Drosophila melanogaster: one gene and its partners. The protein of the gene in region 2 purifies or fractionates together with the protein of the main gene of each other region. This does not show direct contact. Each region holds a gene or a part of one and is shown on either strand. Other genes may lie near its edges.

Region 1 (5,213 bases), on a different chromosome or scaffold from region 2:
GCCACCGCTCGCTGGTCCTTCAGAGACAAATGCAGAATCTTCTCAAAGGCGTCCACATAATCGGCGGCGCTCATGATGATGCAGAAGATATTCCTCCTTTCGGCTGTGTTCATCTGCTGCTTTCTGGCCAGCTCCAGTAGCTGATCCGCAAAACCTCCGTTGGCAGACTTCGATGAGTTCTTATCCTGCTTTTGCTTGGCGGATCCCATCTCATCCAGATTTCCCGTCCAGGCAGAGCCCACAATCCACCATTTGCCCACTTTATCAGCACGCAGGAGGTCCTCCAGGGTTATGTTCAGAGTCACCACGTAGCGATCATTCTTCAGCATGGCCTTCAAACGCTTTCGCAGATTCTCCGCCAACTCGGGATCATACTGCGGCAGCTTTTGCATATTGTTGTTTTTGACTGCATTTAGAATATCGACCATGAAACGCAGGCGTGGATTCTCTTTCAGTTCCAGTGGGGCACTAGCAATTTGCGATTGAACTTTTTGCATCATGGTCTTAAAGGCCAGTGGATCGTCCTTGCGCAGCCGGAAGCCAATGGACTGGAAGATCAGCAAAAGGCACTCCACGCTCTTCTCGCAAAGCTGATCTGACAATTTGCCTATGAGCTCCATCAGCAAATTCAGCTCGTAGATCTTGAAGAGGTACATGTAGCAGAGCACCAGTACTAGGTTATTCAGCTGCTTATCCTCCACCTCCAGGGTAGCGATGTTCTTGACATAACCATCGAATAACTCCACAAAAGTCTGCAGGAAATGCGCTCCAATCTCGCTGCCAACCTGGGCATGTAGGTAGGCCAGCAGCACCATGTGTTCCTGTACCATTCGCTCGTTGGTTCGCGTGTAGCCGAGAAGGGCTTCTTGAATTAACTTGGTTAGTGTTTCGTTCATGTTGTAGCGGGAGTTTTTCATGTACAGCTCCTCGATGCCGGCGGCAATCTTGTGCAGATTCGCTTCTGACAAACGATTGAGCAGACCCTTGCATTGCTTTAGAAGGCGAGCTAGTATCTCTGCCTGTTTTTCACTTGATCCCGCGCTGGCTGCCATCAAAGCTCGCTGATGTGGCGGTATGTACTTTTGACCGGCGGCTGAGGCCTCGAGCTCCACGGGATCAGGCAGGATGTTTCCCTCGGCGTCGCGTTTGCGTCCGTAGATGTCCTCTTTAACTGTAATTAATTCGTTAATTAAATGAAAAACTCTAAACGATGAATGTACTCACTCTTAGGTGCATTCTCTTCCTGCTCCGAATCCTCCTCGCTTTGTTCTTCCTCTCCAGTTAGGTCTTCATCATCATCTTCACCCTCAGAGCCACTGTCATCTTCTGAGAAGTTATCCATGGGCTCATCCCTGTCCTCCTTATCCTCTTCCTCATCGCTCCACATTCCCGCCTCCTCCTTTTCTTGCTGCTCCTTCAGCTTTTTCTTACGTTCCTGCTTCTCCTCCCACTTCCGCTTCTCCTCCTCGTCATCCAGGACAAAGTCAAGCAGGTAGTCCAGGCCATCATTGAACATCTTCCGCACCAAGCGGTTTTTGTCCTTGGATTTGTTGAGCTTCAGCTTCTTTTCCAGCTTGTTGATCTCGCGATCATCCTCCTCGTTCTCTATGCGAAGTTGCTTGATTCGCTGCTTCTTGGACTTGCTCTCCAGTTCCTTTTGCTGGCGCAGTTCCTTCCGCCTGACCGCCTCTTCATCCTGTCTTTGGATGGCGCCTCCTGTCGTTTTCTTGACCTTTTTTCCCAGAGGTTCATAGACTTCCATCTTTTCCCTTGCGGGCAGCAGAGCATCCACCTCCGCATCGCTGAAATCCGAATCTATGGACTCGTCATCGTCGCTGTCTATTTCACCGGACAAAAGTTGCTCCTTGGGTATTTCATCTGGATTTATTATTTTGGGCTTCTTGCTCCGTTTCTTCTTCTTGTTTTTGCCCAGCTGCGACTGCGCTGCCAACGCCTCTGCCGCCGCCGCCACGCGCTGTGTTCCGTTAGTTTTGCCGGCGAAATAAAGTCGTTTATTCTGTTTTTTGAACTCCGACTTCTGTTTTCTCTGCTCCTTGCGAGTCAAAGGTTTAGCTTTCGCCTCCTTTTTCTTTATTTTTGCCATTTTAAACGGCCTTTACCAGAGATTTCAGCCGGACCGAATTTAAAAATTGTTGTGGTTGACAATCAGCTGTTTAAAACAAGTGTTGGACAACCCACGTGCTTTTACACGGGTGTAGGTAACAGTTCTTTGAGAGGAATCTAGATTTAGTGATATTATTTTTTAAAAGTGGTAAAAGTGTGGAATATTTTATAGTTACAGCGTAATAACTTAAATTAATATATACGTTAAGTTTTAGTTAACAATCTTATGCGACCCCCTTGCTACGCCTGTGTCCGCCCGAAACCTTTGGCCTTTTTTAGTGCATTTCATAAACGCACAACAATTAATTTAATTTTTGTATTCTTGAATTAGAATCTTAGATCCTGGCTAGATCATGTCCACGAGGTGGTATCCCATCTATCAGCGCGGCAATCCGCAGCTTCGCGTTTTCCTTCCCAACTTCTGGATGAAGCTAATCCGACCCACGGAGGAACAGCCACCCAATGTGGTCACTTTTTCGGTGTCCATGGAAATGACCAAGTACGATGTGCGTAACTATCTGGAGAAGATCTACAAGCTGCCGGTGGTGGATGTGCGTACTCGGATTGCCATGGGCGAGACCAAGAAGGATCAGACCTACGGCTACATCACCAAAAAAGACGACGTGAAGCTGGCTTATGTAACATTGGTATGGCCCACTACAAGCCCCTGATTCAATGGATATTTCCAATGATATTTGTGTATTCCAGCCCAGGGAGGAGTCCTTTGTCTTCCCCGACTTCTTTTCCGAAAAGGCTGAGAAGCAGGCCAAGGAGGAAAAGTCGCTGGATGAATCGAAAGCCGGTTTCCGCAGATTTCTGGACAGGAACAAGAAGCGACCCGGCACGCCGGGCTGGTTTTCCATTTAGTTTTTAGTGTGTAATCGTAGTACTTTTCGTTTCAACGGGTAAATAAACATTTATTTCGAAAGTCCGAATTAACCTAAAGCTCAGCTTTATTTGCGAGGAGGTCAACCTCCACTTTTTTTTTGGGATTTCTCAATTATTACTTGGCCTGTTTGACGGCGGCGGCAACCCAGGCCCGGATTTTGTCCTCGTCCTGGAGTCCCACCATGCGCTGCACCTCCTTGCCGTTCTGCAGCACCACTAGCACGGGCACGGCGGCCACATCGTAGTCCAGAGCCAGTTCGCTGTGCTCATCTATGTCCACCTTGGCCAGCTTGATGGAACCGGCCTGTTCGCCCACAATACTCTCGATGCGCGGGGTTAGCAGCTTGCAGGGATTGCACCAGCTGGTGGATTACAATATAAACATTAATTTGCCATGTCCTCAAATTGAAAATATAAAAATTACGTTGCGAAGAAGTCCACAATCACGGGCTGCTGGCTGTTCTTTACTTTCTTGTCAAAGTCCTCGGCGCTCTGGACTTTGAAGATCTCCTGTCGCGGCGCAGAAACTGACAGCATGCGAATTTGCTGGCCGCTAGCCAGGCGACGCGTCGTCTGTCCCAGAATGTTAATAATCTGTCGCTGCATGGCTTATTTTCTACAATTTCTCAGTGCAAAAAGTTCAGCGATTGATTGCAAAATAATGACAAGAGAATCAGAACAACAACAATGAGTGTGGTGGGGTTGCCAGATGGATTGGTATTGCCTAATGATGTGTGCACACACTGTTTCATTAACTGTTACTTCCCGGTCATGATAATTTTGTTTTATATTATTTAAGTTAAAAACTTATATTTATTAACCATAACTATGTAATCTTTTTTAATTTTCAATTTATGATTAAAAAATGAATAACGATATTTCGTTCTCTCAATCTATCGAACTAGTTGGCATCTCCGTTGAGAAAATAATCAGCAATTTCATGGTGTGCACACATTGGCTCTCCTTTTTTTGAGAAGTAGTCTTGTTTTGTTTTGTCGTAATAATATCCCAACTTTTCGGTTAAAATTCAAGTGTTACAATCGCATTACGGTCCGTAATCATCGAAAGGTTAATTGGCGCACATAAAAGGCGGGTATAATCGTCTTAAAACCCCCGTACCCTCGGGTCAATTACGGAAATTGTCCAGCGAATTTCGCAAATGACCAGTGGAACTTTAGTAATTCAGTCAAACTGAAGACCCAGGATCCGGGAAAAAGTTATCAGTATGGACGACCTGTCGCAGGGCGACATTTGCCGCGTGTGCAGATGCGAGGCACAGCCGGATAGGCCTCTTTTCTACCCGTGCATCTGCACTGGATCGATCAAGTACATTCATCAGGACTGCCTGATGTTATGGATGCGCTACTCGCACAAGGAATACTGCGAGCTGTGCAGCTACAGCTTCAGCTTTCAGCCCATCTATGCTCCGGATATGCCGCGAGTCCTGCCGATAAAGGATGTCCTTGTGGGACTGATGTCCGCCGTTTTGGAGGGCGCTCGCTGCTGGCTTCATTACACCCTGGTCGGTTTGGCCTGGTTCGGAGTGGTGCCGCTGTCTGCCTACAGGACCTATCGGTACCTCTTCCGGGCGAGCTCCTTCGATATGATTCTCACGCTGCCCTTTGACATCTTCTCCGTTGAAAACCTGGCATCGGATGCCTTTCGGGGCTGTTTTGTGGTCACATGCACACTTTTGTCCTTCATAGGATTGGTCTGGCTGCGCGAGCAGATCCTGCATGGCGGCGGACCCGATTGGCTGGAGCGGGACGATGCCCCTCTACAGGCAGCGGCTGCTAATCCTGCGCCTGATCCCGCCGCCGAGGCAGCTCCACAGCCTCAGGACGACAACAACAATGCCGACGACAATGAAGCGCCGGCTCCAGCGGACAACGATGGGCAGGATGCCCAGGCCCAGGATGCCGCACCAGCGGCTGCAGCTCCCGTCGTGGACGCCGATGCCGATGAGCAGAATTGGAATCCCATGGAGTGGGATCGGGCTGCCGAGGAGCTTACCTGGGAACGCCTGCTCGGACTCGATGGCTCGCTAGTTTTTCTGGAGCACGTCTTCTGGATCATCTCACTGAACACCATGTTCATCTTCACCTTCGCCTTTTGTCCCTACTGCGTGGGCAACTTCATTCTGAGCTCCATGGATCTTTTGCAGCCCGAGAAACCACTGCTACACTTTCACGGCCTGATTA
Region 2 (9,546 bases):
GGCAGCGACGCCGACGCCGGCAGCGCCAGCAGGTTTGTGTCTTTGCTTCATAAAGGAAATCAGTGCAACAAGTGCAAGTTTTTTTTTAAATACATGTTTTGTTTTGGAAGTATAACAATTTTTGCTAACAAAATGCAGTGAAAATACAAAAAACTGACTGTTCTTTATTTTCAATGAAATTTCAAGTGTTATATGCGCTCAGCAGACTAGTGAAAAAAAGTCCAAAAAGTCCACTACTTTTAAATATATTAAAGGAAATCTATTCATTCTACAAAAGAGAACTTTAAAAAACTGCCAACGGATAACAAATGGTTGGTGTCTATGCTCAGCAGGATATCCAATATCTCCTCAAATAACTGAGAGCAACAAGTGAAATCAGTCTTAAAAACTAGAAAATAAAACAAACAGAAGAAAACAGGTGAAAATTTAACTGTGCCAAATGCATTTACATGTTAATTTGCATTCGCTCCAAGTGCAATTTTCGTAAAGGGAACAAGTGCAAAAGGCAAAGCGACAGAATAAGAACTACTTTCTATGCAGCTGCATATATTATTGAAAAGAATTTGCAATAAATAAAGTGAAATCTGCTTTATGTATCTAAATATATATGTACTTAGCTTTATTATAGCAATATCTTCCGAATTTCCAGGAAATGGCTGTGCAGCCGGACGGATATCTGCACCGCGGAGGGCGAGATGGTGGCCGGACTGCAGTACGCGCCGGAGATCTTCGAGAGCCAGCGGGATTGCCGACTGTCGTGCGGCAAGTACGGAGCCATCTGGCCCATGCCCACCGGCAAGGAGTGCACCATATCGCACAGGCGGGTACGATTCGATCCGTGGAAGGTGCGTTTCCATGTTGTGGCGCCCGGCGAGGCGGCCACCCAGTTTCTCAGGGAGACGAACCGGCTGTTCGTCTCGAATCTGCTGAAGGAGTGCATACGAAACTGCACGCTGGAGACCAGCAAGCAGATTCTGGTCAGATCCACGGTGGCCAACGAGAGCCTCGTTCTGGACTGGCCCACCGACGAGAGCTACGCCCTGGTGGTGCGAACCACTGAAACGGCCACCTTTGTGGACATCCAAGCGACGACGGTGTACGGTGCACGTCATGCCTTCGAGACGCTGAGCAACCTGGTCACCGGCAGCCTGTCCAATGGCCTGCTGATGGTCACCACGGCCAACATCACCGATCGTCCGGCCTTTTCGCATCGCGGCGTCCTTCTGGATACGGCCCGTAACTTTGTGCCGCTCAAGTTTATACGCAGCACCTTGGATGCGATGGCGGCCAGTAAGCTGAATGTGCTCCACTGGCATGTGGTGGACACGCACAGTTTTCCGCTGGAGATCACCAGGGTGCCGGAGATGCAGCGTTACGGAGCGTACTCCTCATCGCAGACGTACTCGCGCCAGGATGCACTGAATCTTGTGAAATATGCCCGACTGCGGGGCATACGGATACTGATCGAGATCGATGGACCCTCGCATGCGGGCAATGGCTGGCAATGGGGTCCTGCCGCCGGACTGGGCAACATGTCCGTGTGCCTGAATCAATCGCCCTGGAGGAGATTCTGTGTACAGCCACCGTGCGGCCAACTGAATCCCCTGAACGATCATATGTACGCAGTGCTCAAGGAGATCTTCGAGGACGTAGCCGAGGTGGGCGCTCCCGAGGAGACCCTGCACATGGGCGGCGACGAGGTGTTCCTTCCCTGCTGGAATAACACCGACGAGATTCGGGATGGGATGCGGGCACGTGGCTACGATCTCAGCGAGCAGAGCTTCCTGCGGCTGTGGTCGCAATTCCATCAGCGGAACCTCAATGCATGGGACGAGATTAACGAGCGTATGTATCCGGGCATCAAGGAGCCGAAGTCGGTGATCATCTGGTCCAGTCACCTCACCAATCCCCGGTACATCGAGACCTACCTGCCCAAGGAGCGGTTCATAATCCAGACATGGGTGGAGTCACAGGATGCCCTCAATCGGGAGCTATTGCAGCGAGGCTACCGACTGATTGTGTCCACGAAGAATGCCTGGTACCTGGATCACGGCTTCTGGGGCAGCACATCGTACTACAACTGGCGCACCGTGTACTCCAGTGGCATGCCCGTTGGTCGCAGCAAGGATCAGGTTCTCGGCGGTGAGGTGTGCATGTGGAGCGAGTATGTGGATCAGAACTCACTGGGTATGTAAACGCTAGGGAACCAAACGGTGAACCAAACCCATTTAATTAAACCCAATCCAATCCCCTACAGAATCCCGAATCTGGCCGCGAGCTGGAGCAGCAGCCGAGCGAATGTGGTCAAATCCAAAGTCTTCAGCCCTGTTGGCCCAAAGAAGATTCTACCGCTACCGGGAGCGACTCCTGGCGCGCGGAATCCATGCGGATGCAGTTATTCCGCACTGGTGCGTCCTCCACGAAGGACAGTGCCTCTAAATCGGTCGTTCCGAACCTAGTTTTAGCACCAGCACATACCATGTACATACCTTTCAAACTATGTTATTTTATTCATCAGTTATTGCCCATAAAGATCTGTTTTTAATCCAATCCAAAATGTGTTTATAATATGCTTTTAATTATCTGGAGTTACGTTTTGTACATTATATGGGTTACAATTACGAAATACCCAATACTATATGAATTCGATTTTATCATAGAAATTAATGAGCTCACTTAATGTAGCCCTGATCGATGGCGTGCTTGAAGATATCAGCCAGTCGCTGCTGCTTGGCGGACTCCTTGAAGGGTGTGATATTCCAGATGTCGGTGAGAATGGCGTTCTCCTTGATTCCATCCAGATCGGCCACCTCATCGTCCTCCATCATCGTCATCGGCAGCGATTCGATGCCCATGCCGCAACCAAAGCGACCAAAGTTCTTTAGCTCCTCTTGCAGTGATTCCCAGGAGATGATAGACTCTGCATTGCCACCGAGATCCTGAATCAAATCCTGGGCGCTCTCCAGGTAGGCGCGGAGCAGCTCATCGTAGTGCTGTTCCCTCAGCTCCTGGCTAGTGCAGGAATAGATGAAGAAGCTCAGGTCGAGGGCCAAGGAGGAGCACCTGGCCAACTGGAAATCAATGATGATGATCTCCTCCGATTGTCCCCGTTCGTTGTACTTGGTCAGAAAGTTGGGCGTCCAGCAATCGCCGTGCCCGAAGACACTCAACTTGGAGCGAGTGGACACCAGATTGATCAGATCATCGAACAGCGGCGGCTGCAGGAAGTTTGTGGCCACAGTCTCGTATTTGCTATTCGGATAGATCTGCTTGACGGCGTCCGTGGCCACATTCTCCGCCAGCAGGAGGAAGCCCGTGTACCACTCGCGGGTGTGTTCGCCATAGTAGGTCTCCTCCAGCGAACCAGCAGCCTTCTCGAAGTTCTTGCTATCCAGGGCATTGAAGGCCAGGGCCACGCCATGGAAACGACCCAGGGTCCGCATCGTCAGCAGGGCATCTTCCAGCGAAATGTAGTCTTGACTGCAAGGTAAGGTAAGGTAATTGAAGTAAATGTAGTTGTATAATTTATAATCAATAAGGGTTAATGGTATTAATGGTAGATATTGAAATAATCTATTGTATGGGAAGTCGACAGATAGTGTAGTTACACTTATTTATAGAAAGCTGATTTCATACGAAAGGGGTGGAGGAGGAGGAGGAGGAATAAACTAACCGTACAGGTGCCCTGTAGCCCCTGGGACCCACATCCTCCAGGGCGATGAAATCGTTGACGCCATCGCACAGGCTGGCCAGGCAGCGGGGGTACTCCACGAAGGGCTTCTTAGGCGCGGGCTGGCGGGACTTCTGGAATGCCTCGATGGCCGGCAACACCTTGGTGTAGAAGTTGATCTCGTTGCGGAAGAATATCACCGAACGGAAGAGTCGCCGACGGTGCAGATTGTCGGGCATGGCCTTCACGATCACACTGATCTCTAGTTGCTTCTCATCCTGGCCCTCTTCCGCCTCCTTGACGCCGTAGATGGTGATGCGGAAGACACGGCTCAGATAGGCGTCGCCCTTCTTGCCACTTGGGCCAAATTTGTACGAGGTGTGCCGGGTGCCGCCCGCGTTTCGGATGATCTCGTCCAGCGTCGCCTCCGAGAATTTGGCCGAAATGTCCGCGAAGCTGGGAAAGGTGCTCATCGTGGTGGTGTCCAAAGTGTGTCTGTCGCTGCCGGAGATCGCGATCTGCTATTTGTAACGAGTTAAACTATTTCAGCGCGGCGATAACACGGCGTAATCGGTGAAAAACAAAAATAGAAAAAAAGAAAATAGCAATTGGAAAAAAAACGTGAGCAGGCTGCTTGCTGATGCTTGAATACCCTCGCATTTATATGATTATCTTTTTAATTAATTATTAATTAATACTGCCTTAAGAGCTATAGGATATAGACATTAGATCGTTCGGAATGTCTAAGTGATCACACCCTTTGCAAGAGTATCCAAATACAAATAAAAATAAGCGGACAAGTTTGTTTACCGCGTTTTGTTTGGTACACGTCAGCCGCGTCTACGCCTCCGTCGCAGTCGACGTCGCTGCTCTCACTTACCGGCGTTTTTCACACTTTACACACGTGCGTGAGTTTTCGGTGACGTTTATGGTTTTGCCCTTTTGACCGCCAGCTCGTCGCAAGTGCTACTGATTTTGATTCGGATCGCGGGTGGCTATAAATTCGAAATGAATTACAATGCACAGCAGCAGCAGCTCAGTTGGTCACGCACACAAATGTAGGCACATGCACGCACACAGGTGTTTTGAATCCGAGTGAAGGCAGGGTTAGAGATGCGCAAGCCAGTTTCCAGCTGGTAAAGAGCTAGCGTCGCTTTTAAGCTACTTTCCTGTTGCTCCATTGATAGAAATTAATCCAAGCTATTAAAACCAAATGCATATAGTAATAGTTTAATTCATATTTATATATAGAGTTCCAACTCTAGTTTTGTAGCTTAGCACACTTGATTTTTGCCATCTCTAAGCAGCTGACAGCAACTAGCTGCCAGTGTTGGCAAACGACGCCAAACGTGCTGGAAAGCCTGTGCAGATTGCACGTGTGCCGCTCAACATTTGTTTTTTGTACTTTGATAATTTCCAAATAATCCGGAGAAATGACGGCCGTAGAGCCAGCGACAAAGAAGAAGCGCATCTCGAAGAAGAACAAATCGGCATGGCGCAAAACAGACATCCAGGATGTCGAGCAGTTCCTCGAAGATCAGCGCCAGGAGGAGCGCGTTGGGTGAGTTAGCGGGTAAACAATGTGGCCATCCGGAATCATTCATTTGCGTACTGCGCTTATTACAGAACGTTCGCGGATAAACAGGATGAGGATCTGTTCGTTGTGGACTCCAGCCTCCCGAAGACCAAGGCCACCGTTCTGAGTGTGAAGCAAAAGCGGAAGCTGAATGCCAAGAAGCCCATGCGCAGTTACCAGGCTTTGGAGAACACATCCAAAGTCCAAGATCCCATTGCCAAGCGGTGAGTTTGCAGCATATCCCTGACAGGCGATCTCATTTATCTTGAAATCCCTGCAGCAACCATGTGCGCCAGAAGAAGAACGGACGTAACATCGAGCTGGAGGTGTGCAATCCAACCAAGCCGCGCCATCGCCAGGCCAACAGCGATCGAGCTCAGTACTACGTAAAACTGGAACAGCGTCTGGCCGACAAGAAGAACAAGAAGCTTGATGTCGAGAAGGACATCTGGCAGGAGGTGGATTTTCGCGACGAGATTCCTGGACTCAAGGACGAGAAGGGTTGGATCAGTCGCGAACTGGCACTGCACACAGCTGGAAATATTGGCAAGAAGGTGGTGAAAACTCACGCTAGTCTGCACCACAAAACCACCAAAGCCAAGTGAGCACACTTTGCTGGGCCTTAAGCAGTCGGGTTATTATTGATTGTAATATGTCTTTTAGGAAATTCGAACTCCCGCATCCGGGCATGAGCTACAATCCCGCACCCGAGGATCATCAGGCGCTTATTGATCAGGTGGTGGAACGCGAGGAGGGCATCATTAAGAAGGAACAGCACCTTAAGCGCGTGACCACCAGCATGTTCTCCAAGGTGACGCCCGAGGAGAGAGATCGTCGTCGCCTAAATGAAATGAGCCAAGGCATGGACGAGGAGGAGGGTAGTGAGCTCGATGAGGATGTCCAAACGAATGGGAAGAAAAAGGAGGACGATGATGAAAAGCCATATCACACAATCAACGCTCCCGTGGAGAACAAAAAGAAGAGCAAGCAGGCTCGCCGCAACGAGCTCAAGCAAAAGGAGCTGGCGCGTCAAACAGAGCTCAAGAGGAAGCTCAAGCAACAGACGGCTGACCTGATACGGTAAGTTTCTAACTGATGGCGTTGTGGTCCATCTCTAATCTCTATTGTGTTTCTTCATTCAGCATCAAATCGATTCGCCACGAGCTAGACGATGAGGAGGAGGACCTGAATGATCTAAAGAAGCGCCGCAAGCAGCGCGCCGAGAAGGCCAAGTTTGAGCCGAAACGCCTGGGGCGTCACAAGTTCGAGGAGCCAGACCTAGACGTAAATCTGCCCGAGGATATCGCCGGAAATCTGCGCAACGTGAAGACTGAGAGCAGTCTGCTGAAGGACCGCTTCCACACGCTGCAACGCAACAATATGTTGCCCACGACAAAGCTCGTCAGCCGCAAGAAGTCCAAGGTCAAGCGCTTCGAGCGCAACTCCCACAAGGAGCCGGGCGTTAGCTATAATGACCTCAAGGAACGGCGCAGGGCGGCCGCCGCTGCAGCCAAGGCTACTGCCAATATCAAGATATAGTTCAGTTATTAGGTCTCTTTATTTTTAACGGAGCTTACAACAATATGTACTTTTCTATAGAATTAAAATCCACATTCTTTTTCCCCCCAAACGAAAAAAATTATGAACTCTAGATCAGGGACTTGCCCTGACTGCGTCTCTGTTTCGGATTGTTCTTCTTTTTCTTCTTGGACAGCGGAGCTGCCAGGTCGCCATCCTCACGCGTCTCGATTGGTCCATCCAGTCGCTTTACGCCACTGAAACGAAAGAGAGGCAAATACGAAATAAGTTATATTTTTTTTAACTGAGTGATGTTTATAATAAAACGAAACTGGAGACAAATAAATAAACGTGGTTATGTATTAAGCACATTATTAAAAAAAATAGGCGCACCTACCTCTTGACGGAGAGCAGCCCGCTGCCACCGCCTGTTCCGTTTGTTTCCAGCGCCTTGGACCAATCCTCTTCGGTGCCCTTGATTTGGAATTCGTCCAGCTGCTCGGCCTTCAGGCGCTTCAGCTCCTTGCGCTGCTGCTTGCTCAGCTTCTGAGCGGTTTGATCCAGCTCCTTGTCGAGGGACAGAGTCAGCGGTTGCAGTTCCTCGCCCTTGGACAGATCCGCCTCCCGCAGCATGCCGCCTTCGATATGCTCCTCCAGTACCGACCGGAAGCACTGATTGCACCGTTTCATGGCATCGAAAAATTTCGCCAACAACTGGTTACCCGGCATATTCAGCTCCAGACCCAACGCATCCACAGTCTTGCCCTGCACGCCCAGAGCCAAAAGGATGCCCTGCTGCACCAGGTCAAGCTGCAGACCATCGATCCTGCCCTGAAAATACAGCTGGGCAATGTCCGTGAGCAGATCGATGATTAGACGAAACTCGGACTGCTGGCGGGCGTAGCTCTCCAAGCGCTGCAGATCGTGCGGCAAGAAGTAAACATCCAGCATTGGCTTATCGAGTACTTTCAGTGCACTACCTTCCGTGTCCACGGACTTGTTCTTCAGCAAGGCCAAACAGAGTTTCGTCTCGAATTCCCTGAACGTCTTTCCCATCAACTTGAGGACTCTCCTGCGGAAGTCCTGGTAGTACAGGCCCAGCCAGGGCGTGGCATTGGGCGTGTGCAGCATAATGCAGCTATGCTCGGCGGTCAGTTCGTTAGATTTCTGGCTCAAATAGACGGGCACAAAGCCGGCGTTCTTCCAGAACTTCAGCAGCTCGGTGGTGAGGCCATAGGATGTGCCAATATAGTCCACGTGTTCCGGGACACGTTCGTGCAAGCGCTGCAGAAGTGTGGGTATACGACTACGTGGCCGGATTTGTTCCTTCAGCAGACTAAGTTCCTCCTCCTCCACTTCCTCGATACCTATGCAAAATTTAAAGTATTATGTAGTGCATAATAAACCATTGGCGTGCGTGCACTCACCTTTACCAGCATCCTTGCTGGCAACTGGACCGTCCTCCAGATTAGTGTGCTTCCTTGCATAGTAGTCCTTGAGCAGCTGAATGGCCCGCTTGCCATAGCCCATCCTCTGGTAATTCGGATGCGTGGCTACCCTCACAATGCGAACGCCACACAGCTTGGGAAAATCTCGATCGCCATACTGCTCGGCTACGTTCCAGGGAATCAGATCGCCCGCCGCCTTCTTGCCCCTGCCCAGGGAATCGCTGATGCTCTGGGCGGAGATCTGACCCTCCAGTGCCACTTGGATAACCACCAATATCTCTGGCAGGGCGTCCATTCGCTGAACCGGACCCAGTAGACAGAATAGATGATGCGCCGGGGCATCGCTCATCATCTGCAAATCGTTTGGTGTGTTCTTGTAGTGCGAGGACACATAAATGGAGACCAGGCGATGGAGAAAGGCCTCGGCAGCCTTGTGATACGAAAACAGGGCGTCCCTGTCCACATAGTACAGTTCACAAGCATCCGGCGTGGGACAGCCCGAGCTAATACTCGGCACCGTACTGGCATCCAAGCACAGCAGGTTGATCAGCCACTTTTCTATGTCGTCGTTCTCCTGATACCGAATCGATTCCTCCAGTTTCAGTGGCGGCCTTGCATTGTTATCCTTTTGCAGCTGGGAAATGAGCTTCAAGCTCAGCGATCTGCCAGTGCCCTCGTATCCATTTATCGTACTGGCCATGAATACCAAATACGGACCGATCATCTTCTTTACCAGCGGCAAAGGAATGGCAGCCGCCTCATCGATCAGCAGAAGATCGGCTGCGTTCAGCAGATGAGTATCGCTGGGAGCTATGTACTGAATGGTCTGCCTGCTGCTTCTCGTAATATTTATTCTTATTATCGCCTTTTTGTAGTCGGCATTGGTGGAGCGTATAATGGTGTAGTCAGCATGCTCCTGGTACTCCAAGGCATCGAAGCCCTTGAGCACAAATTCAAAGAGCGTGATTAAGTTCTCCGGATGCGGTGAGGTAACGTAGATGTTCACATAGCCAAAGGCGACGGCGGCGGCAATCGACAGACCCAGGGCGGCCGATTTACCACGACCACGAGCCGCTGTTAAGGACATGGGCGGCTTCAGTTGCTTGTCGACCAGCGCCTCAATGAACTGGGCAACGGCATTGGCCTGATCGTAGGTCTTGCAGAGATTAACCAGAGCTCCTGCTGGTTGAACTGTGAGCAGGCTCTCCTTCAGCTCCTTGAGGCTAGCCTCGTTGGGCGATCGACCGGCGCCTGCGGGCTGAAAGTTTAGAAACAAATGGTATTAGCTGCTTTAGAAGATTTACAAGCATCAGCTTACATTCACTGGCTCCACG
Region 3 (5,756 bases), on a different chromosome or scaffold from region 2:
TGAACCTGCTGATGAGCCCGCAGGGTCAGGTTTTGTCTGCCCACGTGGCCGGCAAGGTGGTAATGAAGTCGTATTTGTCGGGTAAGTTAGCATAAATAATCTAGACATTATTCCTTTTAATAATCGCCATGTTGTAGGCATGCCCGAGTGCAAGTTCGGGATTAACGACAAGATCGTGATGGAGTCTAAGGGACGCGGTCTCTCCGGAAATTCAGAGGCGGAAACCTCACGCTCCGGCAAGCCCGTCGTGGTCATCGATGACTGCCAGTTCCATCAGTGCGTCAAGCTAAGCAAATTCGAGACGGAGCATTCGATCAGCTTCATCCCGCCGGACGGGGAGTTCGAGCTGATGCGTTACCGTACCACCAAAGACATTTCGCTGCCATTCCGAGTCATCCCGCTGGTGCGGGAGGTGGGCCGCACCAAGATGGAGGTTAAGGTTGTGCTGAAGTCCAACTTTAAGCCCTCACTGCTGGGCCAAAAGATCGAGGTGAAGATACCAACCCCGCTCAATACATCGGGCGTGCAGCTCATCTGCCTAAAGGGCAAAGCCAAATATAAGGCTTCGGAGAACGCGATCGTGTGGAAGATTAAGCGCATGGCGGGCATGAAGGAGACACAGCTGTCCGCGGAAATCGAACTTTTGGAGACGGACACCAAGAAGAAGTGGACTCGGCCGCCCATCTCCATGAACTTTGAGGTGCCATTCGCGCCGTCCGGCTTCAAGGTACGCTACCTGAAGGTGTTCGAGCCCAAGCTCAACTACTCCGACCACGATGTGGTCAAATGGGTGCGCTACATCGGACGCAGTGGCTTGTATGAGACGCGCTGCTAGGGCGCCCAAGCATCCCCATCACGGAGCAAGATTATCACAATTGAATTTAACGAGATGAATGGAGAAAGTGTTACCGCATCTATTGGTATTTCCTCAATCAAATTGAACCAGCAGCTTATGTATTCCAAGATTAGTTCCAGCAAGTCCGGAGGACGCCCGAGTAGCGGATCCACCCCGGACACCCTATGCCGTATACCGCACACACTGCCTCCGCGAGCACTGGTTATGCGGGCGGGGCGTGTTCCCCATAGACATACCACTACTAGGTACTATGATTTACCCTACTATGTAAATGTAAACTATGTTGTTTTTATATGCGTCGCGGGACGTCTCACAAATCTCACGCTCACGTTTCACAACTCTAATTATTATTTGTATTATCGTATTATAAATATATATATATATGTATATTTAATCATTATTTTCATTGTGCAAAGAACAAAGGCGATAAATGCAACTAAGCGTATTTAATAGACCAAAACTCTGTCAGCGCTATCAATATTGATATTCAAGTGTTAATAATATTCGAATTGTTTAATAAATAAATTAGCATGATATATACTAAAAATGATGTGTTTCTCATTGGTGAAAGGGTATCGTTATATGGCTTTTCCCTATATCGAACTGATATGCCCAACAATAGAACGGAAAGGTACGATTACAACCTCATAAATGGGTGATATACAACTTTATGATCAGCCCACAAGTGCTGTCTTCGCTATCACGTGTGCACATTGGTTCAAGATCAGCTAAATCCTGAAATTAACGTCACAATTATTGATGATGTTCAACGAAGTGAAAACTAGTTTCTAGCCATGAATCATCGCACCAATGGAAGTGATCTTTGCGTTTTGGGAAAGCAAAAAAGGGCCTAAAAATGCCAGTTGGCATAAAAGCTTGCTTATCGTGGAAGGGGCTTTTCACAATTTTCCATCGGCGCTAGAAATCAACATTGTCCAATCAGTTCACCCACTGCGATAAAGTTTATTCCGCTGTGTCCATTAAACTATTATTTCTAGGTGTTAGCTGTTGCCAGCGCTGGATAGCCTTGACTGGTTTCGCCATCCAGATACTAATTAATTGGACTGGAAATTTTAATAAATCCGTAGATATCCGCTGAATCAGAGTGAAGCTTTTGCTTTGTTATCACCCAGCTGGCTTGGTCAGCAGAGTGATAACGCCACGAAAAAAAAACCGTATTATCATCTTTTTGGGCTGACACGCTACACGTAACATGGATGACATAGTACCCGATGTGCTGGATGCGGTTCCCGCTGGCACCATTAAGGTCATCTATGGCGATGACTTGGAGGTCAAGCAGGGCAACGAGCTAACCCCCACCCAGGTGAAGGACCAACCGATTGTCAGCTGGTCTGGGCTGGAGGGAAAGTCCAACCTATTGACCCTGCTCATGGTGGATCCCGATGCACCGACTCGTCAAGATCCCAAGTACCGTGAGATTCTGCACTGGTCTGTGGTCAACATTCCCGGCAGCAATGAGAATCCTTCTGGTGGCCACTCCCTAGCGGACTACGTTGGATCTGGACCGCCCAAGGACACTGGCCTGCATCGGTATATTTTCCTCCTCTATCGCCAGGAGAACAAGATCGAGGAGACGCCCACTATATCCAATACGTATGATATATATTAAGATATTTATCAGTTTACTGTGACACTGATCAATTCCCATTCACAGTACTCGCACAGGCCGTTTGAACTTCAACGCCCGGGACTTTGCCGCCAAACATGGATTGGGCGAGCCCATTGCCGCCAATTATTACCAGGCCCAGTATGATGACTATGTGCCAATTCGGAATAAAACGATCGTAGGCTAGATTTGTGCATATATCATGCAGGGTTTTCAATTCCCCGTCAATAAAGTTTAACCAATTGCTTATCTCGCTATCTATGCGTTGGGGTATTAACTGAAAAGTGCACGGAACTGATTAGGCGGCGGACTCCGTCGATAAAAGGCCAGACATCAGGGATCCGGGCCAGAGTCAACTCGCTAACGCTACACCGAGCAGAAGCAACAGAACTACCAGCTAACATGGACACCGCCGGCATTATTCCCGACATCATCGACGTCAAGCCCGCCTCCAAGGCCACCATCACCTATCCTTCCGGCGTTCAGGTTGAGCTGGGCAAGGAGCTGACTCCCACTCAGGTGAAGGACCAGCCCACTGTCGTCTTCGATGCCGAGCCCAACTCCCTGTACACCATCCTGTTGGTGGACCCCGACGCACCCAGCCGCGAGGACCCCAAGTTCCGTGAGCTGCTCCACTGGCTGGTGATCAACATTCCCGGCAACAAGGTGTCCGAGGGCCAGACCATCGCCGAGTACATCGGTGCTGGACCCCGCGAGGGAACCGGCCTGCACCGCTACGTCTTCCTGGTGTTCAAGCAGAACGACAAGATCACCACCGAGAAGTTCGTGTCCAAGACCAGCCGCACTGGCCGCATCAACGTCAAGGCCCGCGACTACATCCAGAAGTACAGCTTCGGCGGTCCCGTGGCCGGCAACTTCTTCCAGGCCCAATACGATGACTACGTGAAGACCCTCATCGAGACGGTCCAGTAATCTGGCCACCAACTGATCAGCTCTCTGTGAAATAATAAATATTAAATATGTACTAGTTCTCATAAAAGTTATCTCATACATGCTTGTGGGCGGGTCTTTTGCTATGCGATTTCCATAAGCAGCTGAAGTATATTTTTATAAGAATTACTTTTGATAACATTTCCGGAATTAATTTAAACTTGCCCGAGGCTTTGATATCTTTCTTTGAAGTTAAGTTTATAAAAGCGAGAGAAAGAAATGTTTATAATTAATCATTTATTTCCCTTTCGCTAAGTTAGGAGATATGGTTATTTTTCAATTTATTTCGAAATGATTCATTGAATAGATAACAATATTCTTTAACTTAGATATGAATTTGATTCATCAAAACTATCAGTTTCCTTTTAAAATTCGAACTTTGAACACCTGCATGCTCATTTCTGATAACTGCTTTCACATATAACGAATATCCATCCAACTTCAAGTTACCATTGTTAAACAAGTAATGAGTTTGGATCCATGAAAGCTTAAATATATTGGTTAATCTAGTTATTTTTGTTAAAGAAATCGGCCACCAGTTTGTTAAACTCCTCCGCATAACGTAAATGGATATTATGCTTCCCCTCGGGGAACTCATAATATTCCGCATGAGGCAAACGCTCCCTCAGCCAAGGAATGTGCTCCGCTGCTATCATGGGATCCTTCTTTCCGTGGAGTATAAAAGTAGGTATCTTTATTTTCTCAACTTCGGTGCGACAGAAGTCTCCATCCCGTTGGTCATAGAAGGCGCATGCGGCGTCCACCCATTCGGCCCACAATTGGGGGAATCTTTCGACGCCGTAAACCTTTTCCATGGGCTCACGCATGCGCGGCGACCACTTGGCCACATCCCGAATGTTCTTAAGAGCCTTGACTTCGTCAGCGTTCAAGTAGGCACCTGCTCCCCAGATTGCTAGGCGATCCACAGCTTCCGCATGGCGACCTGCGACTATGAGCGCCGTGATGCCCCCATCGCTCCAGCCCAAAATGGAGAAGCGTGGTCTGTCCAGGGCACGCATCAAATCCACGGCTGCCTGGGCATCCTCCCGAAAGAATTCAAGGCCGAACTTGCGCTGCGGCGGCACTGATTTGCCATAACCCGGCGGATCCCAGGCGATGATGGTGTGACCCGGCAGCAGTTTCGGCAGCTGCTCGATCTGGGGCCTAAAGTCGGTCCACGAGGAACCCAGTGCTCCCGGCATCAGGAGTAGACTCCGCTCCCCACTGCCGCTCTCCACAATGTTCAAATCTGAGCCATTCACACGAACTTTCCGCTCCGTGTGCAGCAAGCGCCTGGTGATCGGGGAACGGGCACCCACAAGCCGGCACAGATTGCCCAGCATTACGTAAGCGGGATCTAACGGGGATTTTGGAGTATGGCAACAAACTTAGCTGCTTCTCAAGGGCTCTTCAGATGTCCAGAGAGGAATATTTGGCAAATTCTAATCTTTACACACGACGCCTTGTAAAGTGCACTTGATAAAGATCCGTTGATAACAGCTGATTGATAAGAACAGCTGTAAGTAAACGATCGAATTAGTGTGGCTGTAGGTGCGATGATGCCATATACCGTTAAATCAAAAGTAAATATACCAAAAAACTAATTTTAAAAGAATCGTTAATTTTTTAATAATTTGAAAAATATTTTCATATTGATATTTAGGCATTGGGTGATGCACTTGCATTTTTAAGAATGTTCCTGAAATTTAAAAGATTTTTCCATTCATTTTGAAGAATATTACTTGACAATGCCGAACTCTCCACAGATTTTAAAATAATGGTAGTTTAAAAGCCCTTGAAAGTTCAAGAGCTGCCGCTCAGTTTGATTTTAAGCTTTTCGCTCTTCCCCCAGCTTTTGGCATTCCCAATCTTAGTCCTTGTTAGTCCACTTGAACGTCACGACTCCGAAGGACAATGGACAGCACGTGCTGGCATTTGTTTAGCCTTTAGCGTGCGTTAAAATATTATTAAAAACCGTAAGTGCTTAATAGCAGGATCCTGGTCCCTGCTGTAATGGTCAGTGCGTGATTCGTGTGCTCAAATTAATGTGTTCGCCTGGACTGCGACGACGATTAATGGAGGCGACGGCCTTGCAATTGCTCTCCTAGGACGAAGGAGCAGGGTGATGGGATTTGACAGAGGCAGGACATACACCCACAATCGAGAGTAAGGGACATCACATTCCACTGCCAATGCAAATGCAAATCGAATTCGACTCCGAGATGTCGAAGTTGCGTAGTAAATGTCAAGGAATTTACACGGGTCGTCTCGGAGATAGTGAGCCCGGGGGGGTGTCAGCTTGAGTTGGTGTGTGTGAGTGTG

What was found.
Region 1: the proteins of CG2004 (region 2) and CG8993 purify together in Drosophila melanogaster (affinity purification with mass spectrometry, with the first as the bait; one large-scale study listed by BioGRID). This does not show direct contact.
Region 3: the proteins of CG2004 (region 2) and CG7054 purify together in Drosophila melanogaster (affinity purification with mass spectrometry, with the first as the bait; one large-scale study listed by BioGRID). This does not show direct contact.

Annotation. Positions count from the first base shown.
Region 1 is NT_037436.4:2,370,687-2,375,899, reverse strand, and holds CG8993 (uncharacterized protein), read right to left. Parts: upstream 3,702-5,213; 5' UTR 3,619-3,701; coding exon 3,437-3,618; intron 3,375-3,436; coding exon 3,128-3,374; 3' UTR 3,024-3,127; downstream 1-3,023. Other genes in the region: CG9004 (uncharacterized protein), read right to left, coding at 1-1,171, 1,225-2,104; mRpL23 (mitochondrial ribosomal protein L23), read left to right, coding at 2,478-2,771, 2,833-2,991; CG1317 (uncharacterized protein), read left to right, coding at 4,238-5,213.
Region 2 is NC_004354.4:8,709,926-8,719,471, forward strand, and holds CG2004 (uncharacterized protein), read right to left. Parts: upstream 5,000-9,546; 5' UTR 4,551-4,999; exon of another isoform or gene 4,481-4,550; intron 4,249-4,480; exon of another isoform or gene 4,211-4,248; 5' UTR 4,144-4,210; coding exon 3,674-4,143; intron 3,481-3,673; coding exon 2,673-3,480; 3' UTR 2,547-2,672; downstream 1-2,546. Other genes in the region: Hexo2 (hexosaminidase 2), read left to right, coding at 1-32, 650-2,187, 2,258-2,439; CG1785 (uncharacterized protein), read left to right, coding at 5,104-5,231, 5,297-5,470, 5,527-5,847, 5,910-6,326, 6,389-6,785; l(1)G0020 (lethal (1) G0020), read right to left, coding at 6,895-7,021, 7,162-8,131, 8,192-9,470, 9,531-9,546.
Region 3 is NT_033777.3:22,463,206-22,468,961, forward strand, and holds CG7054 (uncharacterized protein), read left to right. Parts: upstream 1-1,779; 5' UTR 1,780-2,069; coding exon 2,070-2,470; intron 2,471-2,531; coding exon 2,532-2,670; 3' UTR 2,671-2,733; downstream 2,734-5,756. Other genes in the region: AP-2mu (adaptor protein complex 2, mu subunit), read left to right, coding at 1-81, 138-835; Pebp1 (Phosphatidylethanolamine-binding protein 1), read left to right, coding at 2,886-3,416; CG5377 (uncharacterized protein), read right to left, coding at 3,941-4,777.